Linked DNA regions of Struthio camelus. The protein of the gene in region 3 interacts with the protein of the main gene of each other region in a pairwise test. Links are inferred from orthologs where the notes say so. Each region holds a gene or a part of one and is shown on either strand. Other genes may lie near its edges.

The links.
Region 1: the proteins of HTT (region 3) and HOXC4 interact in binary tests that used the Homo sapiens proteins (3 or more experiments, as listed by UniProt). The link is inferred for Struthio camelus from reciprocal best matches to the Homo sapiens genes HTT and HOXC4.
Region 2: the proteins of HTT (region 3) and KLF11 interact in binary tests that used the Homo sapiens proteins (3 or more experiments, as listed by UniProt). The link is inferred for Struthio camelus from reciprocal best matches to the Homo sapiens genes HTT and KLF11.
Region 4: the proteins of HTT (region 3) and KPNA3 interact in binary tests that used the Homo sapiens proteins (3 or more experiments, as listed by UniProt). The link is inferred for Struthio camelus from reciprocal best matches to the Homo sapiens genes HTT and KPNA3.

The regions. Positions count from the first base shown.
Region 1 is NC_090969.1:3,002,233-3,009,585, reverse strand, and holds the start of HOXC4 (homeobox protein Hox-C4), read left to right. Parts: upstream 1-4,340; 5' UTR 4,341-4,357; coding exon 4,358-4,802; intron 4,803-5,301; coding exon 5,302-5,638; intron 5,639-7,353. UniProt on the Homo sapiens protein: Sequence-specific transcription factor which is part of a developmental regulatory system that provides cells with specific positional identities on the anterior-posterior axis.
Region 2 is NC_090944.1:24,675,926-24,683,080, forward strand, and holds the start of KLF11 (Krueppel-like factor 11), read right to left. Parts: upstream 3,009-7,155; 5' UTR 2,825-3,008; coding exon 2,783-2,824; intron 2,356-2,782; exon of another isoform or gene 2,283-2,355; intron 2,197-2,282; exon of another isoform or gene 2,051-2,196; intron 1-2,050. UniProt on the Homo sapiens protein: Transcription factor. Activates the epsilon- and gamma-globin gene promoters and, to a much lower degree, the beta-globin gene and represses promoters containing SP1-like binding inhibiting cell growth.
Region 3 is NC_090945.1:76,792,775-76,800,560, forward strand, and holds the start of HTT (huntingtin), read right to left. Parts: upstream 3,016-7,786; 5' UTR 2,888-3,015; coding exon 2,787-2,887; intron 1-2,786.
Region 4 is NC_090942.1:192,846,293-192,853,999, forward strand, and holds the start of KPNA3 (importin subunit alpha-4), read right to left. Parts: upstream 3,008-7,707; 5' UTR 2,117-3,007; coding exon 2,036-2,116; intron 1-2,035. UniProt on the Homo sapiens protein: Functions in nuclear protein import as an adapter protein for nuclear receptor KPNB1. Binds specifically and directly to substrates containing either a simple or bipartite NLS motif.

The DNA.
Region 1 (7,353 bases), on a different chromosome or scaffold from region 3:
GACGAAAGAGGCTCACAAGAAAAATGTGAAGGCTAGGACTTTGGGTGACAGGCTTTGCTTATTAAAATCGTTTTAGGCCGATTCATTACTTTAACTGACAACAGATTTAAGAAAAAATCAATTAAACATTTGCATATTTCTTTGCATAAATTAGACCTGTCTATTTGCATTATGAAGGAACAAAAAGAAAAGGTCTCTTTGCACTTACTGCTTTCAAGTTGTGAGAAAAAATTAAAATTTAATTAATTACATGTCGTTGCATATGTTAGAGAGAACCCAACTATTTTTTTTTTCCCTGAAAAAAAAAAATCCGCCTTTCCTCCCCCTACTACCCATGTAGCCATAATGCCATAATCACCTCCAAACAAGCCCTTAAAAGCTCGGAATAAAACTCCACTCCAAAATTTATTTCCACCTTCCGAGTCTCGAGCAGGCAGAGTTCATACAACGCGAGGTTTTTTGCCGTTGTTTTACTATTATTATTAAACACTGAATAACAAAACCCCAGTAGATAGGTACTTCATTTTTTTCTAGAAAGCACAGATTGCTAATGGGCTGAGGTACAGGTTACCAAACGGTCAGTATGGTAATAGCTAACACAATGAATCCGGAGAGACAATGCATACTTATTTTTCTTCAGTACTGTCAGAAAGGCGCTTTGTACTTAAAAATGTTCCTGCAATGGGAACCAGATATATATTTTTGCAGCCTGGTTCCTGGGTAGTAAAAGGAAATAAAGCCCAGAAATGATTTTTTTTTTTTTTTCCGTCGAGGTGCTGCATTTCTCTTGGCATTGTCACTCCCAAACTGTTTATCGACATTGTGGTGCTGGTGGGGGGACGAGGGATGGAGAGCGGTGGGAGGGCTGCTTTATAGACAAAAGAGTCAGATTCTTGTACAACTATTCTTCACACGTCCTTACAGACTTATTTTATGGAAAGCAAAAGGGGGGGGATAAATAAATTTAAAAAAAAAAACAAAAATCGCCCAAACACTTCAGCAAAAGGCACAGCTCTGAAATCCAGTTTAAAAAGAGAGGAAAAGAGGTGGGGGGGCGGGGGGGAAAGCTTTTCCCCAGCCCAAAGAGAGGGGAGAAATGGGATTTTTGTGCACTTGGAAGAAATTTGGGGCAAGCCACACACACACACACACATACACACACACAGGGACTGAATGCAGACTGACAAGGGAGAGCAACAGAGAAGCGAGGCTCCCACTGAGACCTCCAAAATACCTATTTGGGTCTGGACCAGGGGGGTGGAAGAAGGGCAAACGGTGCAAATCAGGTTGCGTTTTCCCCTGGCTCATCCGGAGGAGGGAGAGCAAAGAGTTTAGGGACTTCCAGTTTGGGGGTTGCAAGGGGCAGGAATGCGTCTGGGTGACCTTCACGCCTTGCTTTTTGTTTTTTTTTTTTTTTAAAAAGCTTTTGATTGCTGCTGTTTTGTTTTGCGTTTTATTTTGGTTTTTAAACCCATCTACCCAGCCTATTCTTAAGAGAACTACCTGTGGATATTTATTTATTCTGCTGGGGCTTATTGAAAATCATATATTCTAAAGGGGGGGAGGGTGTGCGTAGGTAAAAATTACTTTATTAACTCTCCATCTTTATTCAATATTCCCTCAGCCTTGGAATAAAGTTGTTGCATCAGTCTGAACTATAAATGTCAAAGCCCTGCATGAGTCTGAGGTGTTTGGGCAGAATGAAGTATAGCTGGGGAAAAGGAATTTATTGGATATATTTAAATCAATGTTTTGGGTTCCGGAATACATTTCTATTCATGTCTTTTCCTTACCTCTGAGCTCCCATCCCCCTTCACTCCCCAGCTCTGAAACTATTCTGGAGCGAGCAGGAATTTTACCTGCCATGTATGTATATACATATAGATACCTAAAGTCCTCGATATATAACTTTAGGAAGGCATCAGCTTTGTCAGGGCACGGGGGGAAGCAATTAGTCAAGCCCTGCGAATCAGATGCCAATAAAAACAGGAACTGCTAAGTAACAACCAAGAGAGCAAACGAGTTATTCCCTGTCTGAGTGCCAACATATATATAGATACACATATATATACATATATAAAACGCACACACACACACATGCATATGTATATATATGGGGCTGGCTCTTTGCTTTCGGAGGGGATTCCACCATAAATATGCCAAGCCTCCCGAGCCTGTGGCCAGCTAAAGCAACGTGGTCAATCAGTGGCCTCTGCGTCCTCCTTCGGCCGGGCAGCGTGGTTTTTTGGCAGCCCCTTGCCCTGCTCAGCAGCCCTTGCCCCAGCCCTCCCGTCGCCTATATGTACCCTGTAGACTCGAATTTGTGTGAGCGTCGCAAAGTCACAAATTCGTCTCTAGGGGAATATATGGACGATGCCAGAGCCTTGTAAAGTTCTGCTTGCCTTTGATGCCTTTAATTGCAGCCGTCCTAATTAAATTCGCAAAGCCGGGTTATGTCATTTTAAAAGGTAGTTATTCAAGTGCGGAGCGGCGTTTGCCGTTTGCCAGGGCAGCGCCGGAGCTGGCTTGTTAAAAGGTAGAGTGAAATAACCGTGATGATTGGGGGGGGGGGGAGTGATAATAATCAAAATAAAATCCCATTATTACTTTTCATCTCCAGAAGAAACAGCAGCTACCGCAAACACAACTCTCAGCCAAGAGCACAAAGAGCCCCGACCATTTCGCAGTGACTGATTTATGGCGTTTTACAACCCCATAAAAAGCTGTAACAACCAGCCAAAAGCCTTCGACACCGCTGGCACATTTAGTCTAATAAATAAAACATAAACAGTTAACTTTATGTGTCACTTTTATTGTTATCAAGTAAAATATGGCAATGCCCTGCAAGCTATGATTTTCGACTATAATTGTTATCAAGCCCAAGAAGGGAATACCCCACCTCCCTCCTCGGCCCCTCTCTTTAGTGCTAGCGATAGATAAAAGCCCTAATTGAAGGAGCTCCGCGCAACTCCCCAAAATGTTGCCATCCATTTGCAGCCTCCCAAGCTGCGCAGGGCGCATCCCTCCCCCGGGCGCGGGGAGCCATTTTCAGCTGGGCAGAGCATCCCTCCACCTTGCCCCTTTCGCCTCCGCCCAAAAGGAAAAAAAAAAAAAAACACAAAAAGGGGAAAAAGGAAAAAAGAGGGGGAAAAAAAAAAAGAAAGAAAGAAAATCGGCCTCAGCAAAAAGCAGGTTGAATGCCCAGCCCAAGGGCAGGCTGGCCTGGGCTGCCCGCCGGTGCGCGCCCTTGTGCGTGTGGGTGGGTGGCACCTCCGCAAACGCAACCCCCCCCCAACTCCTTAGCCCAGGAAAGGAGAAGGGGGGGGGGGAGACAGCAGCAGTTTGGGGAGGTGCTGGGAGATGGATAGAGGGGGTGCCTGCTGCCCCCCCCCCCCCCGAGAGCGTGGGAAAGTCGGGAGAGCATCGCCTGGCCGGGCAGCCCCCACGGGAGCTGCTGGCGAGCCGGGGTGGGGGGGATCTCCCCCCCCCCCGGTAACTCTGCGAGGATTTAGAGCCCGGTAGATAACGCCTCTCTCCTCCGCAGGTAACTTCCCCCCCCGCCCCGCCCGCACCGAGAGATGCAGACAGTGTTTAACCCCCTCCCCTCCGTTTTTTTTTTTGGGAGGGGTGGGCTTTTTTTTGGGGGGGGTGGAGGGGAGTGGGCACAAGTCCTGGCAGTGCCACCAACCTGCCTTGTGTCCCTCCCTTCCCCAAATTTCCCACCCCCCCACCAAACACACGCACAGCCGGGGGTGGGGGGGTGCTGCTGCAGAAGGGGGTGAAGGGGCTGCGGGCTCCGCAGGGCGGGCGGCCGCGGCCCGCTCGCACTCACACTCACACTCACACCGGGGGGGGGGGGTGTGAGTGTGTTTGTGTGTATAGGTGTGTGTGTCCCTCCATGTCCCCAGCTCAGCCCCTCGCTGTAGGGGCGGTGGGGGGGGGGACACACGGGGGATGCCCGGCGCTGCTCGCCCCGCGCCCCCCCCCCCACTCACACTCACATCGGGGGGGGGGGATGGAGGTGGGGTGTCCCTCATTGTTCCCAGCTGAGCCCAAACCCGGGGTGAGGGGGGCGGGTGGTGGGGGGGGGACACCCCGAGGGGGATGCCCCGAGCCCGCGGCGGGGCCGCGGCGCCCCGACTCGCGGCCGCACTCACACTCACACTCACGGCCGCACAATTTGGGTACATTTTTGCAAAACCTTTTGGTTCCTTATCCGGGGACTGGGCTGGCGGGTGTGATTGGCCGGGGGAGTCACATGGTGAAACTAACTTTACGGGGTCGCCAGCTAGTAGGAGGGCTTTATGGAGCAGAAAAACGACAAAGCGAGAAAAATTATTTTCCACTCCAGAAATTAATGATCATGAGCTCTTATTTGATGGACTCTAACTACATCGATCCGAAATTTCCTCCATGCGAGGAATATTCGCAAAATAATTACATCCCAGACCACAGTCCGGAATATTATAGCCGGACAAGGGAGTCCAGCTATCAGCATCACCATCAAGAGCTGTACCCAGTGCCACGACCCTCCTTCCCCGACCGCCAGTACAGCTGTGCTAGTATCCAAGCTCCCGGCAACCCGGCCGCGCACCAAAGGGGACACGGGCAAACTCCAGGAGGCCAACACCTCTCAGAGAAAGCACAGCAGCTCTGCGAGCAGGCTGCTCTTTCCACCTCTTCCTCCACTCCTTCCCCAGCCCCTCCAGCCTGCGGCCAGCCAAACCCCGAGCATCCTAACAGCACAGCTTCCAAACAACCCATAGTGTATCCCTGGATGAAAAAAATCCACGTCAGTACTGGTATGCAACTTTTATTTTCCTCTCCGTCGCGCTGCTCGCTGATTTTTTTTTTTTCCTTCACCCCATGCTCTCTCTCTCTCTCTTTTTTTTTTTTATTTCCTTCCCTTCCATGAGAGTCTTTGGGTTAGCACAATTGAACTGGATTTACGACTCCGAATGGGTAATTACACCCACCATAAATTTTATAGCCGAGCTACTGTGGGCAGCCTTAGCCATGTGGCTCGTTCTGTTATGTATGTGTGAAACTCCGAAAGCTTTGTAAGGGGTGCATAAATAATTCAGTCTTTTGAGCCAGGGAAACCCCTTCCTATTAGAATAGAAACTCTTGAGCTGCCCAAAGTTCTTTATTACCTATTTAGCCTAATACTTTTCCCTCTCAGCTGCTCCAGTTGCCTCTCTCTCGTGTCTCTCGCTCCCTCTCTCTTCTATTCATGCTAATTTTGCTGTTTTGTTTTGTTTTTTCCCCCCCTCCTTTTATTTTTTTTTTTCCTTCTCCCAGTGAATCCCAATTACAATGGAGGCGAACCCAAGCGCTCCCGGACAGCTTACACGAGGCAGCAGGTTTTGGAATTGGAAAAGGAGTTTCATTATAACAGGTACCTGACCCGGCGACGGCGCATCGAGATAGCCCACTCGCTGTGTCTCTCGGAGAGGCAGATCAAAATCTGGTTTCAGAACAGGCGCATGAAATGGAAAAAAGACCACAGGCTGCCCAACACCAAAGTGCGGTCGGCGGCGGCCAGCGCGGCCGCCCCCGCCGCCCCGGCGAGCACGGCCGCGGGCGAGGAGCTGCCCTCCGCCGCCGCGCAGGACCCGCGCACAGAGGATATCACCAGGTTATAAACACCCGCACACCCGCACACAAATGACTCTGGATTATTTATAGAATCTAATATATATATATATATATATTTTGGTTCTTTTGTCTTTTTTTTTTTGGGGGGGGGGAGGTGTCTTCCCTTCTCTCGTAGTTTTATTATTATTATTATTATTATTATTATTGTTATTATTATTATTTCCTGTGCGTATAAAAAACAATGGGTCTCCGTAAGACCGCAGGCTTTAGATGCATGTCAGATAGCATGAGGCCAGGTGTCTGTACCTGCAGGTTTTTTTACGCCATTTCAGGGTTTTATTTATTTTTTAAAAGGGGGGGGGAGGAGGGCGGGAGGGCAGGGTGGGGGGGGGAGGAAGAGGTGAATGTTCTGTTCGACGAATTTAATGAAGAAATGCTGATAATATTGGCACCAGAGACAAAAAGCGAATGTAGGTATTTTTTTCCCCCTCTGCATTACAAATGCACAATGGTCGAAGGAGCTATGAAGTTCTTTTGTAGAAATGTGGAAAAAGCTTAAAAAATCACGATTTTAAGAAAAAGAACAAAACCAAATACGAGACAGCGTACAAGGGTGGACGAGTCTTTGCTGGAAAATTGAAAAGAGAAAAGGTAGAGAGAGAGAGAAAGAAAGAGCGGCATATTAAAAAAAAAAAGCAGAAGGTTTTAAAAAAAGTCAGTAGCTAGTTTTTTTTGTCGTGGTTATTTGTGTTTTTGGACTGATTTTACATGATCATTGTAAACTTGCAATAAAGAGTTTTAGTGTGTATGTGAAAGTCCCAGTGTTCAATAAACCAGTCAGTGTGAATTAGTTTTACTTTCATGTCTGGTGACTTATTTTATCCTCACATTTTCCCCCCTTCCCAAACTCGCCCAAAATAATAGTAATAATAATAATAATAATAAAATCCTGGGACGATATATAATGAATCCCATGTGCACGAGTTACTGCTCTAAGTTAAGTTTAAACAAACATAAAGATAACTCTGTACTCCAGATTTTATGACATCACGAGGCGGCCAGTGACTTTAAATCTCAGACCCTCCCAACCCTGTATTGGGGGCGAAAAAAAAAAAAAAATCTGGTTTTCAGACAAGAGCAGCGCTGCAGATTGGGATTAGCTTCCATTCATGCCTCTTTATTTTGTTCTTTCCATCCAATATGAAATTGCCTGTTTTAACCTCGTCTCCCTTCTTTGAACTTTCCTGGTGTTTATTATTATTTGTATTTCGCTGTCGTGGCGTGGTCAGGTCGGTTCGTTTACCCATGAAAGCCAAGAGGGCGTAGGTAATTTTTTAGAGGCAATGAAAAGGCTGTTAAATAATAATAATAATAACAATAATGGTAATAATGGTAGTAATGGTGCTAATAACAGTAATTCATCGCTCTTGGCCTTTGGAGGAAGTATGCAAATTGGCAGCAGTGGGGGGATTTTAGAAATAAGCTGTTTCCTCCCCCCGGTGCAGGGGGTTGTGGTTTTCCCTGGCAGCGCAGGGAAGGGGAGCAGCCCCGGGTGCCTGGAGGGGGGGGGGCTGAGGTTGGGCACCCCCTTTTTTTAGGCCCTGGCTTTTGGGGAACTTTGCTGCAGGTCCCTGCTGCAAATCCCTGGCGCAGGCAGAGAGGCAGAGCTAGGCCTGCTTGAAGGCATCCCTTCCCCAAGCCCTTGTGTGCTTGCTAGGTGAGAGCAGAGTCCTCTGGAAATTAAAATAAATAAAT
Region 2 (7,155 bases), on a different chromosome or scaffold from region 3:
CATGATGAAGGTCATCTGCAATAGATCCCATGCCTGAGGCAAGACTTTTAGCAATCAGCTCAACTCTCACCCTCCCACTCAACCAAAGCACAGCTTGTCTCCCCATCCCTGTTAGTCTTGTTTAAAAAAGTGACTTGAAGGAAAGGAACTGATACACATAGCACGCAGTTCAGTTTTTCAGAGTTACTTTCCTGGATTATGTTGCTGTGAATAAACACATCCCACGCCCGCACACAAGCAGAAAGAAGGAAAAAGAAAGAATCTCAACCTCTAACATTATTTAGACAAAGCTATTCCCTGGACCAAAAAGAAGACTGTGTTATTTAGCAGCAATCTAAAGTCCTCTAAGGTCTGATCCCTGCTCTGCCATTGATTCGGGGTACCATATTCTGCAAAGCGTTTTAATCTTATTTTACCAATAGGGAAACTGGGGTGAGGGGGAAGGAAGAAAAGCCTCACGGCACTTTAAAGACTAATTATTTGTATTGTATCTTAAAACAAGTAAGATACTACATAGGTCCTAGATATCTCTAAGTGTACTATCACTAACATGAAAACAAATTTAATTGTATTGATTTGCTTAGAAATGGGAGCATCATACAAAATTAGTGTGGGGGGGTACACACAGACATGCATGCAAAACTCTTGACTTCTCTCTGAAAAAGGTTCCTGAACTTCACAAAGCCCTCACAGTGCATATGGCAGTGACCCAAAGCCATGGTGTGCTGTTCATTTATCACTCACATGCTTACTTTTCACTATTTGCTCTGCCCCCTCTTCAGTCTCAACTAAGCATCCAAACCTCCTCAGTCTTTACATACACACAACTAGATGTAAAAGCTGGGATTCAGAAGCATGGACCACGGTTCTTGAACTCCACACTGTTATAAAGAGTGCTTATATATTGCAACAAAAGGTTTACAAAAGCAGCAGTGAGCACCACCACACTCTTATGGTCAAAAGCCCTGCAAGGAACTATACTTGCTGGGTGACATCGCTTACGCAGTGAAGTCAATGAGATATTGCTACTGACATGAGGTGTTAAGTAACATGGAACAATCCTGGCCCAGGAGTGTCACAAAGATACACTACTACGGGACACTACTGCCATTACAGAGATGTACCCTGGCAAACATTTTAAACACAATGGATCAAAAATGCTAATATTGCATCCACAGAGGTCTTTCACCTAAAACAAGAGGTACCAAACACGGAGAGGTCAAGACTAGGGGCAGCAAGGGGTTAAAGCATTCTAAAATAAGGAATCTAAGAGATTAGCTGATCTGATAAAGACTTTTAAGCATTTCCACTGAAAAATAATGAAAAAGGGAATGAGAGCAAGAAATCGTAGCCTACACACCTAGACCGTCTGCCATACAGGAGCCATACCATGTGAGGCTCTGCACTGAAGCCACACAGCCTTTGAGAATCCCTCAAAGTCTGACTGCAGACAATATGTTTAAGTCTGTCTTTCAGGATACCAGTTTTTCCCTAAAGAAATATGAACAAAATACATTGTGCAAGGGAGAGGAAGAGGGAGGAAAACGCTTCTCAAAGCAAGCGTTCAAGCCTAGGCTCTCCCTGCTGGCAGGGAAACGGCTAACCACGCCTGACCGCCTGTCCTCAGATCACCCCGCCGGGTGCCGCGGCTGCAGCGGCCGTTATGTGCCGGGGCACAGCGGGGGAGCTGGCAGGCACTCGGGCAGGGACCGGCAGCAGGCGGACGGGAGATCCCCCACAGCCCTGCAGTGCTCCGGCCTGGATCCTTTCCCCTTCCCCCCTTTATCCCTAGCTAGGAAGCGAATAAAGGCAGGCAGGAGGAGGCGAGGGGAAGCTCTCCTCGGCGGCCCCGCTTCCCCCACGCCAAACGGCCGAGCAAGCGCCACCCTCGGGAAGGGGCGGCGGGGCGCCCCCGCGGCGGCCGCCCGCTCCTCATGTCACTCGGGGGCGGCCGGCCGGCCGGCTCGCAGCGGCGCCGCTCACGGGGCGGGCACGGCGGCAAGGGGCCAGCCCCCGCCATGCCTCCCCCCCGCCTCCGCACGGCCGCCGCCCGCCCGCCCCGGCAGGTGAGCCGGGGAAACATCGGCCTCCCGGCCCGCGCCTCTGCCGGGGCTCCCCCGGGCACGTAACGGTCCCAGCCGACCCCCACGCCGAGCAGAAAACGGTCCCAACGGACCCCGCCCCCACCCCGAGCAGGTAATGATCCCAACGGACTCTCACCCCCGAGCAAGAAACGGTCCCAAAGGGACCCCGACCCCCGCCCCCACGCCGAGCAGGAAACGGTCCCAACGGACCCCCGCCTCCGAGCAAGAAACGGTCCCAACGGACCCCGACTGCCGCCCCCACTCTGAGCAGGTAACGGTCCCAACGGATGCCGACTCCCACCACCCCGAGCAGGTAACGGCCCCAACGGACCCCCATCCCCAGCAGCCAGCGGTCCCAACGGACGCCAGCCTCCCACCCGAGCACATAACGGTCCCAATGGACCGCCGCCCCCCCGCCCCGGGCAGGTAACGGCCACAAGGGACCCCCCCCACCCCCTCTAATCGCTCCCCGAGCGGGTAACGCTCCTACCGGAGCGGTCCCCGGGGGCGGCGGGCGCCTCGCGGCGCGCGCGGCGCTGCCCTGCCCTGCCCTGCCCGCCGCCCATCGCCGCGGCGCCGGAGCGCACGTGCCCGGCCTCGCCCCGCGCTGCCCTCGGCGCGGCGGGCGCCGGCCCCTCCCGCCGCCCGTGCGGAGGCTCTGCGGTGCCGCCCGCGCAGCCCGGAGGTGCGGTGCTTACCGCGGGCGCATCTCCCATCTCCGAGCAGGGCGAGCCGTGCATGGTGCGGCTCCCGCAGACGGCAGCGATGTGACCAGGCTGCCGGCGGCGGCAACAGCAGAAGCAGCAGCCGGCACCGCCTCCGCCTCCTCCCCTTCCCCCGCCCGCCCGCGGGGCCGGCAGCCGAGCAGCCCGCGCGCCGCGGGAACCGCTCCGAAATACTCCATGCAGCAGACAGCGCGGGCGGCGAGCGGGGGGGAGGGGAGGAGGGGGGGCCGTTCCCCACCAATCACAGCCCGGCCCGGCCCGCGCCCGGCCAATGAGCGGCGCCGACCGGCGTGATCGCAGCGTGCCGCGGGGCTGCCAGCAGGAAGGGCGGCGCGTGGGCTCGTTCCGCGGCGGCCCAGCCGGCGGCGGGCGGGAAAGGCGGGAGGCGGGCGGAGGGGGGGCGCGGCGCGGCGCGGCGCGCGCTGGAAACTAGGGGAAAGGTCGGCGCGGGGGGCGGGGCGGCGGCCGGCCGGGGAATGCCGTGCGGGGGCGCGGCGCGGCGGGGGCTGGGGCTGGGGCGGGGTGTGCCGCGCCGCCGTGCCGTGGCCGCCGTGCCGCGTCGCTCGGCACGCGGGCTCCGCCGGGCCGGCAGTGCCCAGCGGACCGGGCCGGGCCGGGCCCGGCGGCGGCCGCCTGCCCTCGCGGACGCGGGCAGCCGCGCGGCCCCGCCCCGAGCCCGGCCGAGCACGTCCGCGCCGCGGGGGAGGCGGGAAAACGCCTCAGGGAGCCGCGCTGCGCTGCGGCCCCCGGGGCCGGGGCAGCGACCGCAGAGGGAGAAGGCGAACGCGCACTTCGTCCGGGACAGGGCGCAGAGGCCATCTTGAAAAAACAAACCAAAAAAGCTGGGATGCAGTTTAGAAGGGATAATAAACTAGGGCAGGCTGTGCTGTCTCCCGTACTTTTTTTGGAAACATCCTTTTCTCTGAGATTTGTACATTCCTTTAATTCTTTTTCGTTAAAGAAATTGCTGGCTGCAGCGTGGAGCTTAGAAATGGGGCCTCCTGCCTGACTATGTAGATCCAGATCAGCAAACTGGATCAGTGAAAAGATCCAGGATTAAAAATAACCCTACCCCCTCAAAAAGGGGTCATTAATATATATATTTTTTTCTTTGAGTGGCAGGTTCAGGAAGGGAAACTAGCCCACCAAGAAAGCACCCTGCCAGTTTAATGTCCTGTGCCCGGGCCCTGTGGGTCGGACAGGCACCGCAGCTAGCAGCAGGGAGAGCGCGAGGCCTTGTGGCAGGGTCGCGTGGTCAGTTTAAACCGTCCACCATGATGCCACACGCTGGAGGTCAGCAGCGCCTGGCAGTGGGTTTCCAGGAGGGCTCGATGCCTGTGCAGGGCAATAGGCGCTCTATTCCTGTCACCCCACTGAGGGCAGCTGTGTCCTCTGCCAGTCAGTGGGGCAGTGGTGGGGAGCAGCGGGGTCTGAGTGATGCTCTCGTCTCATCCTGTGCTCGGCGATGCAAAACTGCTCTCCTCCGTGGAGATGACCCAATGGACTGGGACCTCCTGTCGGTCTCCTGGACAGTCTGGCCCAGCTGGACTTTCACAATACAGAGAGATGAAAGTTTCACTGTAGTGGGCACTGGGGACTTGCGTGACATCTGTTTCCGTTCCTTTTGCTTCCCGCATCTCCTGCGTTCCCCTGGCCTTGTTTGAGGAGCAGGGCATGCCTGCCGGGATTCCCCCCGCTTAGCGCCCCTCTCTGGCACCTTGACCTACCGCTCTGAATTCACCTGAACTCGTCTGGGTTTGTGTCGTTCCCTTCCTGGCCTAACAGGAACAGCCTTTAATTCTGGGCCAGTGTCCCTACGCAAGGGGTCCCTGCAAGAGGTCCTTGCCACGATCATGTCATGGTGCTATTGCCAATGATACACATTTTAACAAATCTTCAAATTGCAATGGCTCAAGAGCTTACAAGATTAGAAGAAATGTATATGCTTTCTTTTTTTACTTTCTCATCCCTAACTCCTTCCTCCCTTTTTTAATGGAAGCTGAAACTCATCAGTCACCAGGTGACAGCAAGATGTGGGGTTTTAATGAAAACCCTAAATCCTCTGCAAGGCTTCTGCAGAAATTGCAAGGGCTGATAAGTTTGCCGACAGTTTAGGCTATCTCACCTGAGCTCCTGTCCCCGACAGTACTGGCCATCAAAGAGGGAAACTCGATCTTCTCGTGACTGAAATTCGTGCTGGGCTGATGTCTCCTGTAATGTGCAGAGGGTTGGAAAGAGTGATCAAGCTCGGAGGAGGAGGGGGATGCAAGGTAAAGCCCTTCAGCAAGCTCTCACTGTCAGGAAGGTGTCTCCAGACTTGTCTCTGAAGAAACAGTGGGGCACATGCTCCAGTTTCTCACTTTCTTAAGTGATTATATTTCATTTGTAGGTGTTGAGGCCAGGCCAGCAGCCCTCGAGCTAAAAGGTTACAGAAGTGGGAAAATAAAACTGAGAAATGCCACTCTAGGGAAAGATATTTGCAGTGCACAGGCTAAAAACATCTCCAATTCAAAGGGTAGCTGTCTGCTTGGCAGAGCTGCTTCAAATTCCAGCTAACTGCCTCTTTCAAACATTTCTTCAAAGGTGTCCTGAAATAATTTATAAGGTGCCACTGCAAGCCTGCAGAGCCTGCAAACTGAGTCCTGGCATAGGGAGCTGCAATGGAAGCATCCTAAACTGGAGCCCAGAGGCACAGCAACAAGCTGTGGTATGTCATCGAGGATCAAGGGCGCACGGTCCGAGTTTTAGACAACTGTTTATGATGCTAACCTTTTCCCAGTCTGGCTGCCCTTGGATGCTTTGCTGCCAACTCAAACAAAACATTCGCAATAATAAACATTTTTCTTGCTGAATTATCTCTACTTTTTCCTTCCTCAGTTTCTCAAGGCTTGTAACATCCTCCTCATCAGTGTGGAGGACTCAGGGGGCTCATCCTAAATCTTCTGTCTCCTTTCCCCATTATCTTTATTTGACCCCTGGGCTCACTTTTTCCTTCACTGCTCTTCCAAACCCAGATTCTTCCCCCCATCCACATAATTTCTAAAACTCCACTCCGAGCTCATCTCTGGCCTTCACTATTGTAAATTCATGGACTGTCGCTTCCCCGGTGTCAGTATTACTACTTTCCAGTCCCATCAAAAAACAAATTAAAATGATCTCCCTGGCTCATCTGTCAGTGTGTTCCACTTGTTTCTTTGCATCTCTGCCCCATGCCTCCCATATTTGATCTAATCTCTTTTTCCCAGTGCCAGGCCTCCTGTTACCATCTCCCTTGAGGAGGAACGCTGTGATTGTGCTGCAAGGACTACAGCAGCTTGTGGATCTACAAACCTTTCACCCCAGAAGGTCATACTGAGTTTGCCACATGCAGTTTTTCCTGTCTGGAGCTTGTAACGAGCAATCAAGGCATTGGCCAAATGGCTTTCTATACCTAAAGTACTTTTTCGTCCTAACAGCAGTAACTAGCTCTAACATGAAAGACAAAAATGAACAGGAGGTTAAAATAAGAAAGGATCTGTCCTGTTTACCCCTTTTGCAATGGGCACAGGAAGCCAAACTTCCTTCAGACATGTCTCATTGGATGTGAGTTTCTTCTTTCTGAACAATTTCTCAACCATGACCTCATCAATTGAGCAGAAAGGTGTCTGACCCCTTCCTTAGGAAGCTGTTTTGTCACGATCTCCTGGGCTTTATGTTTTCTGCATTTATACGCTGGGCCACCCTCTCTTTGGTAGGTGCCTCGGGCCTGGCGCTGGAAGATGAGTGGCCTCCTTAGGTGCTTTGTTCTCTAACTTGGTGCTTTTGCTCCCCGGAAGAAGTCATTTACAATGACTGGGAGAGGGAAAGAGCTGTATCTAAGCAAATAGTGTCAGTATTTTGACGTCATCTCTGCACCAGCTGAGATGCTCGTGCCCAGCTCCTGAACAGAAACCTATAGCACTGAGCTAGGCACTTTAGTTCCCCAGGCATTAGCAGGACACGAGTAAGGTGGTTAGACAATGCTGAGTGACCACGTCCTGGCACAGCAAAGGACACAAAATTCAAGGGCCCTCAACAGCCAAAGGCGTCCTGCCTCTGCAGCTGAGTGGTCATGGTCTTCAGCAGGCAAAGGGCAGACTTGCCATGCTGGTCCTGCTGCCAGGACTGCATATGAATTTTCCTTTAAACAGTCACTGAATGAAGCTCACAGTCAGTTAAAGGAGCAGGGGGCAGGCTAACAGGCCCATCAGTCCTACCCATGAAATGCATTTGCACAGGCTACTCCAGTTGTCTGAAAGATGATCCAATCTCATTTCCCCAGCCAGGATCCACAAAGTGACCCAATTCTAACTGCTAGTAGTTGGCAC
Region 3 (7,786 bases):
CAGATTAAAACCTCTCAAAATAGAAAAAGCTCTTACCTCCCTGACAAAAGCTTGAATTCAATTACTATTTTAATAATAAAGCTAGGATATTCGTTTTATCAAGACCACAAAAGTCATTTATCTTACAAGAATAAAATGAAAAAAAAAAACTTCAAAACATTGGTGCAAACAATTATGTTTTACTGTACTCCAGTTTCTCTGTGATGTTATAACATTTCATAGCATCAGTCAAAGAGCCCTTAGCAGGACTCATTCACTAACCAGATACAGAATGCTCAGTTTTTACCAGCAATATTTTTCAAAGGTAGTTTTTGCCTATTCTAATAGGAAAGTGTTTTGTGTGGAGGTTTTGTTTGTTTGTTTTTAATCTTGTAGAGGTAATATTATGTTGTTAAAATTTAAGGTAGCTTATTTTGAAATAAGAAAAAGAGTAGAGATCAGCAGCGATCTTACTTTCATGGTAGCCAAAAGACATTGCTACTGCAATAGAGGGTATACATCCCAAGCATCTCTTTCACATGGATTTTCATTGAAATACTCCCTATTTAACAATAGGCTGTCCTCAAGTTTACATTCCCGCAAGCTCTTTCCATCCTCTTCGTGTTTGCATCTTTTTAATTGCAGCTTCTTAAGCACTTGAAAACATAAAATTTCAAGCCTGCACTTCCTAGACATCTTTTTAACTGCAATCCATTTTACTGTTTGAACTTAAAAACAAAAACAACAAAAAAACCTCTGCCCACTTACGTGTACCACATAGCAATACTGTCTAATAAATTCTGTAATAATGAGATTACTCTTCAACTGAAGGAATGTCAGCCTGTCATCTAGTTTAGGCAACAAGGCAACTCCAATCTAACAGACAGCGTTAAATGTCTATTTAACGAAACAATTGAAGAGTAAACTATTAGCACTTTGCCTATGACATTCACCAATTCATTTGTTCTCTCATTATCGACTGAGAGAGTGACACTCCTTTTTACAGCAGTACACGGATAAGAGATAGGAAGTTACCATACAGAACAACAAAAGATTTAAGTGCGACTTATACACAACCACAATTAAGACAATCATTTCTCCCAGGAAGGTAAGGAAAACGCATTGTCATTTTTCCTTTCAAGTCCATTACCACAAAACACAGACAGAAGTGTGAATTACATTCAAGATGTCACCTGGTATTTAACCAGAAGTTTGGGAAACTTCTTCAGCAAAGACTGCCACAAGGTCCTTTCACAGGCTTTGGTGAGGCTTAGTGCTATTACTGAATTTGTATAGTTCCTGGAGGCATGCAACACTATCAGCTTTCTGAAAATATGCAGTCTATTTTTAAACACAAAGCATAGTCAGCAAGAACAATTACAAACCTTGGTTTTTAATGGTTTGAGTATACCAGGCCTAAATTCAGAACCTCAAACCAGAAGCATTACATCCCCTCACTGAGCATCACATCCCCTCACTGAGCATCACAAATAATTAACAAGCCTTTCTTTAAGAACATGATCTATCTTACCGATAACTTTTTAGATAGATTTTTTTTCCCCACTCCATATAAGAAAGATTGGAAATAGATGTCCACCTACCATGTCACATGAAGTACTAGCACACACACAAAAAAAAAAAGCACCTCATAGAGCAATAAGTCCCTGCGAAACAGAAAGACATCTAAAAAGAACTGGCTCACAAAGGAGGGATGAGCCAACTTTTTCATCCGTTATGCCCTGAAAGTGTGAAAACGCACTGAGATTGTTTGAGACAACACTCTCCAAACAGTATGAACCATGATAATTTAGTTGGCAAACATATCAGAGTGTACTGTGGGAGCAGGTGGCTAAGAGCCCAGCTCCACTGCTTATCATCGTCTGCCAAAACACTCAAACTGCCAATTTAGAACTTACCTGCTCCTCAGCCCTTCTGCTTCTCCTCTTTCACTGATATCTGGAGCAAAAACAATAATGTGACTCACGTATTTATCTAGTAAAAATCTCAGTGCTTTTTCACCTGTTCAATAAAGTTTATTTTTAGAGAACGCTAATGTAGCGGGCAGCACTCTGGTACTGAACAGCTTCGTGCCTTTGTCCTCCAATAAAGCACTAGGATGGGACACCAGAACATCACACGGATGCAAAAAGATGCCTCTTCAATGTGTTTGCCCCTAATGTTTTCAGAAAGCAAAAGGACATCAGAAACGTTTAAATTAATTCTTCTTGGTAATCACCACAGCAAATCAGTCACAGGACAAGATTTCAAATGAAGTTTGTCATAAATAGACATTCACGTCAACTACCCCAAATGTATTCAGAGCTTAGACTTTAAGTCATGCTCATTTTCTGCTGTTTTTCAACAGTGTGTTAGCTGAAAATAACATTTTGCTTTCTAGAAGCAGCCCATGAAAGCGATACAGCATCGCTCTCTCTCTTGTCCACTGTCCGAACCCCTGTATGGTCAAATGCATTTACCCAGAAAGTTACCGCTACTTTTAAAATTCACAAACAAAAAACTAGCGCCAGGCAGCGCTCCTAGCCACGTCCACAAGTACAGCCTCCCGCAAGGAGAGGAAAGCGCCCCGAGGGTAACTCCTCCGGGGCAGCGCCCGGCTACCAGCTGTCGCTCAGACCGTCAGCAGCTCCCGAGCGGCAGCAGCCCAGGGAGGAGGAGAAGGAGGTTGGGGAAGACATAAGATAAGACTTCTCCTTCCCCAGGGGAGAATGTCACCGAAATGTTTCAGGAGCCTGCGGGGCGCGGGTAAGAGAAGGGGAAGGGAGCCCTCCCCGTGCCCGGTCACTCACGGTCTCTGGAGCGGCTCCTCGGGGATAGCAGCCGGCCCTTGCTGCTGCTGGAAGGAGCGCAGCGACTCGAAGGCTTTCATCAGCTTCTCCATGGTGGCCATGTCCAGTCCGCTCCGCTCCGCCCGCGCCGGTCGCGGCACCGGCCCGACGCGCCTCTCCGCCCTCTCGCAGGCGCCCGCCTTCCTCCTCGCGGGCCCGGCTCTGCCCCGCCTTCCCCCGCGGCTCGCCCGGCGCGCTCAAGCCAGCCGAGGCGCCGCCGCCGCAGGCCGCGCCGGTGGCGGTCGCTGCGCCGAGCCGCCCGTCACGGCCGCAATGAATGAGGGAGACGCCGCAGGGGGCCGCGAGCACTCCCCTGCTGCCCCGCCGCCATCTTCAATCCGTCCCGTCATCCCCCACGCCGCTGCCCCGCCCCCTCCCTGCGCTGCTCCGCCCGCTCCGCGGCCCGGTTCCAACCACGGGCAACGCCGCGCCCAGCGCGCATGCGCAACCTCCCCCCTCCCAGCCGAGCCCTGAGTCACGTGCACACCCCTAACGTAGGTACATGCACACCCAGGCACGCGGGCGAGCTGAGGGGCGGGGCAACAGGGAGAGCGACAACCTCGCTGACCAATCAAAAAGAAGATAACTCCGCCGCTTCCCAAAGGTCACAGCAGAGCGGCTGAGGCAGACGCCAGCAAGTGGCGCGGACCAACGGCGATCACGCGCCCCCGCCGGCCCCGCCCCTCGTCGAGCGCGGCCGGCGCCGCGCCCCCTGCTGGGGGAGGGGCGGCTGCCCCCGCGCTGAGGTACCGGCCCCCGCCCCGCTGCAAGTGGGCGCATGGCGGCTGTGCCCCTTACCCCTCCGGCAAGCCTGCCCAACGGTAGCAGCTTTTCCGTTTTTATTTTAGCCTGCTCCGGGCCTGAGGTGTCTGTGGAGAAGAGGAAACGGTTACGGGAGCAAGATATTTAATCCTTACCAACCTACGGCTTCCAGCACTCCTCTCAGGCTTCCTGCTTTGCCCCTTCTGAGGACGTTTTGATACATTTTATACGCACTGAAGTGGTGAGAGAGCCGCTCCTGTTCTGAAGTTAAAACAACGTGCCTGCAAAGGGGGAAAAAAATAAATCGCAAAAAAAAAAAAAAAACCCGCGGTGTTCCCTATGTCCATCTCTGTGATGGAGCAGAATTTGAACTTCGGCCCACGGGCACAAGTTTCCTACCCCTATACAACTCATATTCTAGCCTTGATGTAAACGCTGGAAAAGCCATAAACAGCCTTACAGAGAACAAGTGATATGGTTGTTGCCAATTAGTCCATAAAACATTTCTCTGACACTTCTATTAGTGTGTTAATAAGATTGACTTTGAGGAACGTTTCAAAGGGTATCTCTACAGTACTGAAAGCAATCTGAACTATAACAAAGCCCCAATTTCATTATAAATGTGTGACAAAACATATGTACGCTTTCAAATTGAGAACTTTTAAACTTGCAGAGTTTTCTCCAGAACATATGGATGATCATTAATTTTTTATTCAGCAAACGATACATGAAAAAAAAAAAAAAGACGAGTGGAAGGCTGCATTCACTACCCCATAATTGCATGTACCACTCCAAACTTTGAAATAAGTTTAAGCATGTTTAAAAAGAGCATAAGCTCTTATCAAAGACTGAACAAGCCACCTATGAAGTCAGGCTTTGCACAATTGCTTTGAAGCTTTAGATTAAAACATGCACCAGTCCCCTAAGGGCTGCTGACTCACGGGCAGATATGCTAAGGCAACACACGCCTCTAAAGCAGCACTACTCTTTGCTCTTGTCTTCCCAGACTGTCTTGGCGTTTGTTACACACGAGTTGGGATAACTGGAAGAAAAGCACCCAGGGATATCTTGGCTTGGGCTTTTTCTTTGGCAAGTGTGATAGTAATAGGTTCTCCCAATTCAAATTGACAGATACAGGCAAAAACATGGATCACGTCACTGGTCACAAAACAGATGGGGCTAAAAAAATAAAGGCACGTAAAACTGGCAAGGGGCAGAAACAAGCAAGCTGGGTTAGAGAGCGGCAAGTTTTGTAAGCCATCATTACCATGAAGAAAAAAAAAAAAAAAAAATCACATTCTCAATGGAGTAACAACCAACACACAAAGTGTTAACTTAGTAAATGATGATAAACCTGTCTCCACCTCCAGAAGGAAAACAGAAGAAACAACGCTTTTACCCTACCTAAAAGGAAGACCATCTAGGTCACGAATGTGGAAAGGCTTCCCAAGCATAGGCTTGCGAAATACTTTTAACTACTGAAGGCTACTTCTTCAGCGCGTTCAAGAACAGGTTAGACGAGCACGTCAAGAATATTTTTGGCCTCATCTCAGTACAAATGCTTCTCCTAAAGTCAGTCTTGACTCTGCATTTCTACATTTCTGTTGCTCCACAAACACAAGCAGGTACTTGGCACTACTAGGATAAATCGTCCAATAGACTTCATGAGACTATACAACTCATGTAGTTGGAACATATGCTCAGGTATTTTGCTATATGCCATAGCAGAGTTATACTACCATTAAAGTCACTTAAACACATGCTGTTTTGTATAGCAATTGAGTGCTTATTTCTTCAATTCAAAAGTTACAAAATCACAGGGAAAGCCATTGCATAAAAACAACAAGGTTTCGAAAATTTAGATATACAAGCAGCTTATTGTTGAAAAGCATTCAAAAAAAAGTCTGACTAGTGACTCGCCATAAATTCTCTCAAGGAGCGATGTCTAGGTTCTTTCCTTTCATTATGGACAATTCAGTATCTGCAAGACTAATCACAAGCACAGCTACTCCTGATCAGTCTTGCACTCACATTCATAACGTTAGCACAATAAATATATTAACAAAAATAGACAATCACCATAATTCTCCATTTCCACACCAATATGTATGCAAAAACTAGAAATCGGACTAATAATTCAGGTATCAACTGAGCAAATACAACAGAGCTAGGGTACTCTCTGCTGGATCTGACAGTCTTACATTGGTAAAGAAATTACAACATATAATACACATTTTCTATTTCAACAAATTGTGAGTTAAAAAAATATATATACATATATATAATTTTTCCATTATCTACCTCAGTTGCCAAGAGAGACATGGTGAATAAATCACATTAGACAATAATACATGTGATTTAGACATGCGGCAGTGTTTTGCTTTTATTTCGGAACAACAAACGCTAGAACCTCCAGGAAAACAGCTCATACAAGAACAATTCAGTGGTTTGGAAATACTGGAACCAACGTATCACATTTAGCCATCAAAATAGTTATACTTGGAAAGAACTCTGGTGTTCTGGACACATGTAGAACATGTGAGAAATTACCTGTGTCACATGCAAAACTTAAATTAAGTTACACCATATGGACAATTACAAAAAAAAAAAAAAAACACACATACATACATACAGAAGAGACATCATTACCACCAAACACAGGTCATTCAAAAAACAAAAACCTAGAAAACCACCAAAAAGCACATAAATTTATCTTGAAGATGTTCTCCATTAAAGTTTTAAATTAATTCCAACTTGTGAGTACTTAGAGAGAAGTATTTTCTGGAAGTCAACATGAGAATAGAGGTGATAAATTATTATAATACTAAATTGTAAACAATAGTGAAATACTACTACTTCTGTTGACTTATTTTCAGTAACTTGTAAACAATATTTTGGAATTTATAAACGACAGTGAGAAATACCTTCCATCTATATTATTTGAAAAATAATTGAAGAGTATTCTAAAAATTCATTTTTGCCTTCAGATCTATTGTTTTAAAAACGATTTTAAAAAGATATAGCATTTTTTATTAAAGATTAAGGTTTGACAATAGCTATCTCCTTGTTTCTGAGATACCACAGGTTTTCCTATTTCTATTGTACAGTAATTATTTTTAAGTGCTCTTTTTTTTTTTTTTTTTTTAAATAGGGGCTGTTTTGATGTTGTTATAATACAAAAACATGATGCCATCTTTATTATGAACACTACCTCTGCAAAACTTACGTTTTTATAGAAAGAAAGCAACCCTGAGGCATGAAGATTTAATTCTATTGGTCAGTCACAACATTCAAAAATAAACTGATACTGTTATATTGTTTCACAGTTTCTGAATTTTGAGCTAAATATATATATTCATGAGGTATGAATAAGCAAACGCTAAGACTTACACACAAAAATACTTGGAAACAAACCACAGACAAGAATGATCGATCTCATACAAGTAACTCCATAGGAATTCCATAAATTTTACCCTATTTTGTACCAGGAGAACAAAGCAGTCAGGCTGTTGGATTGTCACATTGCTTTGCAGATTTAATGTATTTATTCCCTGTCCATGTACTAGAGTTAGTAAATTGCACAAGGAGTTAGGTCATACTCACTGCATGGAGACAAAAGGGACAAATTTAAAGTGGAAAAATGCCAGCTGAAACCTACTTGGAAAAAAAAAAAAAAACCACACACAGGATTTAGGTCCTAATCCTGCAAATATATAGTTACTCAAAAAAAAAGTCCAGAACATTAGGAACAACTTGAGGACTGAACCTAAATAAAGCTTCATTAAAAAGCAAAACAACTTTTGTGCATGGTCCAAATTTCTTGTTAAAAGAAGCAGAGGAAAAAGTAATTTAAGGAGCAACCTCTTAGGAGCAACTGCCCTTTTCTCATCATCTAGTCCATTTTCTTCACATGACCTGGAGACACAGTGTTAAACTTCAACACTCCAAAATGGGAGCGGGAGGGTAGGGGTGTGTGTTAATTTGATCTTTTTTGTTAAAATCCCTCCTCCCTCCAATATGGAAAGAACATTTTGAAAAATATGGTAAATGTAAATTCAGATTTCCTTTACTTGTCAATAATTCCTATACTTTCTTCATAAAAATTACTCAGCTTGTGCCCATGGTATTCTTCAATTTCAAGTTGCTCTAAGCAGGCATTAAAGCCAGGCTGCCAGGTCATATGCCTAGTGTTAATACTA
Region 4 (7,707 bases), on a different chromosome or scaffold from region 3:
CCTTCTCAAAGCATGGATGCAAGTTTTAGTTCCATTAATGTTAATGTGGTTATCCACCAGGCAAACAGTTTCAGGGCTGAACTACAAAAGGAAGTCAATCAGCCTGGCTACTGTAAGATAACCCTATAGGATATATTCTCCATAATTGCAAATACACTATTCCAAAATAATTACTTCGTTTCAGGAGCAAGCGTTCTACTGAGAGCTAAGGCACCTTAGCTGGTCTGGTATAACCAATGCCAGTAAAGCTCAGGCGGTCAACTCCCCTCTTCCTCCCATACAGGCAGACATTTAATTCCCCTAGTCGTGGGCATGCTATAATATAAGCAAGTATGGATGACAGATCAGTTCACACTAGGCATGAACATACCTAACCTTTCCCTGTTTAGAGCTCTGATGGATTCAGGCCAGCGCCTGAGAAAGCAGCAACAAAGCCAACAACGAAGACGAGGAGATGAGACAAGGACAAAATGAATGAGGAGTAGCAGGAAGAGTCTTGCTGGATGAGAAGGGAAAAAAGAAACCTACCATGTCTCCTCCCCCTCCTTCCCTAAACTGAAGGATGGTCAATTTTTAGTTACTTTCAAATAATTACTACTGTTAGCCAAAAGTGCTTAAGTTATCACGCTCCTTACACACAAGGTCTTCTGTGAGAAAGAATCACTGTCATCAAGTTAAACAGAAATTGAGATAAAGATTAGTTTACATTGTGAATGTCATCCTAAAGACACTGCTGCTAAGCCTGACCTGCATGAAACTGTCTCCACCCAAACAATGGCAGCAGAGGTGTGATTTATGCTTAAATACAAAACATGCTTTCAAAGGACTAAAATTCCAGCAACATCGATTGTAAAAGTATAGTCAAGTGATAATATCACAATATATCAGCAGAAGGAAGGAAAAGCAGTCTCAGGAGGAAAGAAAGTAATTTTACATATATTTAGGCTCTCCTGCTAGTGAATCCTAATTCGACTTCAACCCTAGTCTGGCTTCAGGGCCCCCTTCCTTTCTTATTACAGAAACTTAAAGGCTTAAGATTTGGGATTTCCTTCCTTTTCCGTTGTGACTTAAAAATCGAAGATGTCCCTAGTAATGGCATATAGATCCCCAAGACTGTAAGAAGCCCTCCAGGGAATAAGCGAGCGGCCTTTTCACCACCCAGACTCTCTCAAACTCGGGGGAAGCAAACTAACACTCCATTAGCCTGAGAGCCCCACGCTCTTTCCCGATGTAGATGGAGACGCCCAGCAGGTGATTCCTTGTGTACCTAGAACCATAAAAATATATATGTGTATGCGTGTGTGTGCGTGTATATATGAAACACAAAAAAAGGTGGTTTAAGCTAGAGCAGGGAGCAAAATCGGCGGGCCCAGGTCGCCGCAGAGAGGTCCATGGAGGGGGGGGCGGGGGAGCGGCCCCTGCGGTCTCCCCCTGGCCCTTAGCAGCCGGCGTAGGCCTCCATGTGCAGCGGCGCGCAGGCGGACGGGCCGCCGCTGCCCGGCGTGCGAGCTCCGCCTCGGGCGGAAGGGCTACGACCCGCCGTGGGGGGGGGGGAGCGGCACAAAAGGCAGCCGGCACCATTGTGCAGCCCCGAGCGCACCGGGCAGGGCGGCGGAGGGCAGGGGCCGGCAGGGAGGCAGATGGAAGGGGAGGGTGGGGGGGAAGGTGCCGGCGAGGAGGGGCGGATCGGCGGATCCCGGCGGCGCAGGGCCCGCCGCGGCCTTCCCCGCCGCCCCCCCCCGCCTCAGCCGGGTGGAGGGGGCGCGGCCGAGCCGGGCCGGGCCGGGCCGGGCCGCTCGGCCGCCTCACGCCGCGGGCCCCGCACACCGCCGGGGCCGCGCTAACCCTCCCCCCCCGCCGGCCGCGCCCGCATGACGGAGGAGAAAAAACCCCGCGGGCCTCCTGCCCGCCGCCGCCGCTGCCCGCCGAGCGCCGCCAGGCCCGGCCCGGCCCGGCCCCTCCTCTCGCACCCGCCTGCCCGCGGCGGAGGAGGCGGAGGCCGGGCCGGCCGGGCCCCACCGGGCCCCGCGCCTACCTCCACGTCGCGGCCCTTGTTCTTGAAGCTCTTGATGCGGTGGTTCTCCAGGCCGGCGGCGGCGGCGGCGTTCTCGGCCATGGCGGCGGCGGCGGCTCCCAGCTCCTGCGAGGCGGCTCCGGCGGCGGCAGCGGCTCGCGCGAGGGGAGGGGAGGGGAAGGGAGGGGGGCGGGGGAAGCGGGACGCTCCGTGACGAGCCCGAAGGGGAAGGAAAGCGGAGGGGGGGGGGGGGAAACGCGTGCGGGAGCGCGCGCGCGCGCGCGGCGTTGCCAAGTGACCGCGCACGTGACGCGCTCAGAGCGACGGGCGGGCTCCGCCAGTGGCGGCGCGGGCTCTTCTCTCGCCCCGCCCCCTTCCCTCTCTCCCTCGGCGTAACTGCCAGCGCCGTGCCCTCGGCTGGGGACTGCGCTGCCCAGCATGCACTGCGGCCCCGGCCCGCACGCGCCAAGAGACGCGGCCCGGCGGCGGCGGCGGCGGCCCGCGCGTTGCATTCCGGGAGTCGTAGTCTTCGCGGCGTGGTGCGGGCGGGAGCGCACCCTGCAGGGCGGGAGGAGCGGCCGCGGCCTGGGCCTGGGCCTGGGCCTGGGCCTGGGCCTGGGGGTTCAGCAGTAAATACGGGGAGACTCGGGGAGACGTTGAGGCTCCCAGCGCGGGGAGAGCCTGCCGGCATGGCGGCGGTGGAGATGCGCAGCCTCTCCGCGGTGGGAGAGGGCCCCGCTTACCCCAGGGCGGTCGCGGGCTCGGGCTGCACCCCAAATCTCCCGGCAAGGCCCTGCCACCCGGGCTGCCGCGCGCGAGCGAGCGGTGGCTCCGCTCCCCGAAGGCGCCACGCGGTTACCTGCCTCCTGTGGTTCGGTGCCTGGTTCGCAAACCCGGCTTTGGGTTGTTCTTCCAGCTGCGGTTATATCAGAGGTCACCTGCGGCGGCCTCTTCCGTCCTAAACCACAGCGCCAAAGTTGCCGTGTTTGGTCTGGGGAAAGCACTGCGAAACAAGCATTTGGCGAATCAGAGGTCTTGGGAAGCCCTCGATCTACTTTAGCTCACGTGCTGAGCCGTACCTGGAAATTAAATCCAATGTAATCCAGTGCTTTCCAGACACGTCGCTTGTACGAGGCATGCACAGCGCGGCTGTGCGTATCCTGGAGGTGTCACACTTGCTGTAACGTAGAATACAAACGGTCTAGGCCAGTCCGACCGATTGTCCCCGCATCATGAAAAATTGCTAGAAATCCCCAGCTCGATTATGCAACTGTGACAGTAGGCCTATGGATACACTGCAAATAGATTCAGGATTTCCAGATCTGCAAATGCCTGGGTACAGCAGGTTTCTGCATATGTTCAACCTACAATACCTTAAAATTGCACTCAGTATTTCCAGAGTGGAAAAGAGGACGCACTGAGGTGATGTAATTCTAGACACCGGTAACCAGTGATCAAACATCTTCTGTAAAGCCAGGTCTTACTCCTTTGGAAGAAAAGCGTCCAAGGAAACCAAAATCTAAAAATAATAAAACCCTGTAACATTCATATCTAGCTCACCTTATATCACATCAGGTCCTGCAATAGACCTTTGGAACCATATACAAGCTCTTCATAGACCCTCTCTTTCTCCTTCAGAGTCCCTTCCTTCAATCAACAGCTTGGCCTTTTAATTGCTTTCCCCCGTCCCCTCTTGCATCATTCAAATGACTTTAACTTGTAACTTCTAGTTCTAGCAAAATAAGGCTTGCAGCCTGTTGGAAACAAGCAAAATCTGGAAAACAACTGCTCTTCCTCACTGTCGTTCAGCTGTGTGCCAAATGTTCTCCTGTGAGGAATCACTCTAGCACTTGAGTCCCTCTTGGATCCAAGCAGCCTGGGCTCCAGATAAACATTTCTCCATGCATTTCCCCCGTTGCTTTGCCTGGGTGTGCTGTGCTGTTATTGCTAGCTGTGGCAGCGAAGAAGGAGCCCAGAGCATGCAAAGCGCAAACGCCACGACTAATGTGACCGTATTTATCAAGACTGCTAATGTCAGAGATGATAGCTTCTAGGTTCTAGCACTTTTTCTTTTGAAGGAAAATTGGACCCAGCTGTCCGGCTGTCTTCAAAAGAGTCACTAAAGCAGATTCAGTAGCTGAGAACTTTGTTTTACCAGCCAAGGAAGGTGGTGGCAGCTGCCAGCTGTGGCTTATGCAGAACCGCTAGGACATCAGCGCAATACCGCTTTGAACCCTGCCAGATGGGTGTTACAGCCATCCTGTGGAGGAGCCGCACACCATTACCACGAACAAAGGAGCTTTGTTCAAATCCATTCAGTGTGATATATGAGGTAGAACAGAAAACTTAATGAATAAAAAATAGAATGTCACCAATCTGAGACAACTCAATTTACATGAAGCTGTATCCATTGCGCTCAGTAAGATATATAGATACAGTGGTGGTCGTGTCTTTTCTTGTCTGTTTCTTCTTACCCATGATATAGGCTTTTCAGAGTTTCTGTAGCACATTTGATTGGTCTTGGTAGACACTTCATAACTGAATGCCTTTTAGACAGAGCTACATGGCAGTTTGATTAGTGTTACTGTCTGAATAAAGCTTCTTGGTGGAATTCTTGACTAGATAATTTAACTTGCATGCGCTCAGAGAGAACACATTTTGATGCAGTGCCCTGAATACTGCTTTTTGGCACTGTAATAGCCACTGCTAAAATATAAGGAGCAAATACTTCGCTACTTTGAAAACTGAATGAACTATGTAGTTCAGTGCGGCCATTCTTCCTCACCACATGAGCTTCATATTGACGTGTTCCTGTGGACAAGATCTGCAAGCCTCGACCCATCCCCGTCCCCACAGTGGCACCTGATACCTAGGGCTGGGGCTACCCCAGCTGCTCCCACTGCTGAAGTGAGTTGATCTGTGTTTGTTTCTGGAATGACCTGTTGACTTCAGCAGAAAAACATGACTAATAAGGTGATATTACCTTGTTTTGGGAACCACAGAGGAACAGCTCAGGAGCCTGCCTGCAGCTACAGCGTCGACACCCCTGAGGTCACTGGTCACTCGCTCATATGCGCTCAATGATTGTGTCAACACCTGCCAGTCGATACAGCTGCAAGAAAACCAGCATATAAGAGAACTGTAATGCTCCTGAGTAATACTCTTTCTAAAGCAGCTCCGTGTCGGGGGGCTATCAAGTATGCATTAATAAAAGGACCTGCAAGAAGGATCAGGCAGATTTAGATGCAGCGATTTAAGATGCTACCAAGTATCAGCTCTGTCTGGCTGGTGCATGTTACAGGGGGAGGCAGGGGGGCAAATAGGACATGTGCCATCTCCTCAGCCTCCCTGTTCACAACCATGAGGAGCTGAAGCTGAGACATGTGCGGTGAAGGAGGTGCAGGTGCCCTCTGCTGCAAGAGGAGTGGGGAAGCTAGTGAGATGCTGTTTTCTTAACCCACTGCAGCTGGACTGGCTGCAGACTATCTGTCAAAACCAGGGTCTATAAAAACACGTAACTTCCAGTTACAAAAAGATGCAAGGAACACTACTTTAAGTCAACCTAAGTCATTCATCAGTCTCACCTCTTGCTTGTCCTTCTCCAAATGGGAGGCCTACGTGTCTCTGGCTTGTATCATACTATCACAGGCAGAGCAGAGTGGGAGGAAGCTTTTCTGTACAAGATTTGCCACTGTTCACACAGTCTCTTACTCCCAACAGACGGTTAACTTTTGGGCCTAGCTTTCCCCATCTATTAGAGCAAGATTGGCAGATGCTTGTATAGCATGTATCCCCACATTACTTTTAGCTCTCTGGCAGCTGGCTGAACTGCGTCTCGTTGGGTGTTGCCCTCTGAAGAAAAGGGATGTCTCTTTCTGTAGGGATGAGTAACGCATAAGGTAAACTAAGGCAAAGTCACCTGCAAACAAAGCCTTTGGTACTCAGTTTGTCTTTACAACGTATCACTTCAGTAAGACTATTGCTGCATGTTGCTTACATTAGCTATACAGAAAGGCTACTTTGTGTCACAGAAGTCAAAAATTGTCTTCCTAGGAAAAGACTTATGTTCTTACCACACCGTAACTAGAGTTTAGTAATGAACGTGACAAGTAAATAAATAAATAAATAAATAGTAAATAAATCCTGGTAAAGACTCAAGCTTTGTCAAAGGCTGCTGTCCAATACCATGGCTGCTGGAAGGTAGTCTGCGCTCAAGGAGAGACAAGACAGGTCTACCAAGGAGAAACCCATGGAAAGTTGTTGTATAGAAAAAGCCACATCCAGGTCAGGAAATCTCTAATCTGAAAATAGTTGGAAGCTGGGAAAGTGTTGGGGGAACCATCATACTTATTCCTATCCTTATACTTTTCCCACGGTATCTGCTGGTGACTGTTGGCGACGCAAATGAGATGGTCTGACCTGGCATGGTCCTGTATTATTTGCAGACAAGGGACAGAAGCATTCAGGGACAAGGTGGCTTGTCTGCTACTATTTCCAGAAGCTGTATGATGTTTTTAGTGAAGGAGGAACTGTAAAACCTCTGGATATTCACAGCTCCCATGTTCAATCTAAGAGACTCTCTTTGTCCCCACTTTGACCAGGAGGAGGACTAGGGGAAGCTCTTCGCAGGTGAGAATTTCGCTTTCCTCCACCACTATTCTCACAAGCAACTCCAGAGTAAGTACAAGCCAGTTTCTCATCTTCTATTTGCTAGGATCAGGGAGCAGCAAGGACTGCTCTGTAAGGGAAGGCCAACTGGATCCAAGGGCAGGCATGGGGCAACAGCTTCAGAGACAAGGGCACAGTACCACAGTACTCCAACAAGAAGAGCAGAGCTGCTCTGGCGATGGTAACCAGGATCAGACAGGAGCTCACCAGGCACGTCACAGATCAAGCCAGTGGGTTAGGGCCCGGGTCTGGATCAGTGAGGTACACAGGCAGGAATGGGCATAGCTGCGATGTAGCTAAGGCAGAGAGCAAGGACAGCAAGCAGCTCCTGAGAGGAGGGGAGCAAGTCCCTGCTGAGGCTTCTCATGGCTTTGGCTCAAACAGCTCTTTGATCTGAGGCTGACCAGCTGCACCAACAAAGCCGGCTGTGACCCTGCACAGCCCAAGCCCTGGGAGGAAGGGATGTGCTCAGGGCTCCGGCACTCGCCTGGAGCTGAAGACTTCCCTTTCTCCTAACATCTCAGCTTCAGGCTGCTGCAGAACCACAGGGGTCACCGAGACTTATGCCAGGTCCTGGCCAGCTCTCCCAAATTTAAGGCATATAATGATGAGCAGCCAATGTGCCATCCTGCCCAGAGCTCTGATCAAAGCAACGCTCCTGAGACGCAGTTTGCAGAGCCATGGCTCCGTCCAGCCTCCTGGAGCTTGGTGGGCTGCTCAGGAGGCTGGGCCAGGCTGTGCTGTGCAGCGAGCAGCAAGAACCGATGGGCTCACAGGTTTTGCTGGTAGCAACAGCTCTGCTCCACGGCCTAGACCCTTCAGCGTGCATGGCCTGGGCACGCGCCAGCGACAACCCAGCTCCAGAGCCAAAAAGCACCAGACAGTTCCTGATGCAGGCTAAGCAGGGCCTGGAGGAGAGAGCAAAGGGATGCTGTTTATGGCAAAGTCCCTGAGGACCTGGGAGTGACTGTCTGCAGGATGGCTCTCTTCATTTATGCTTCTGAGTGGATAATTGGCACAACTAG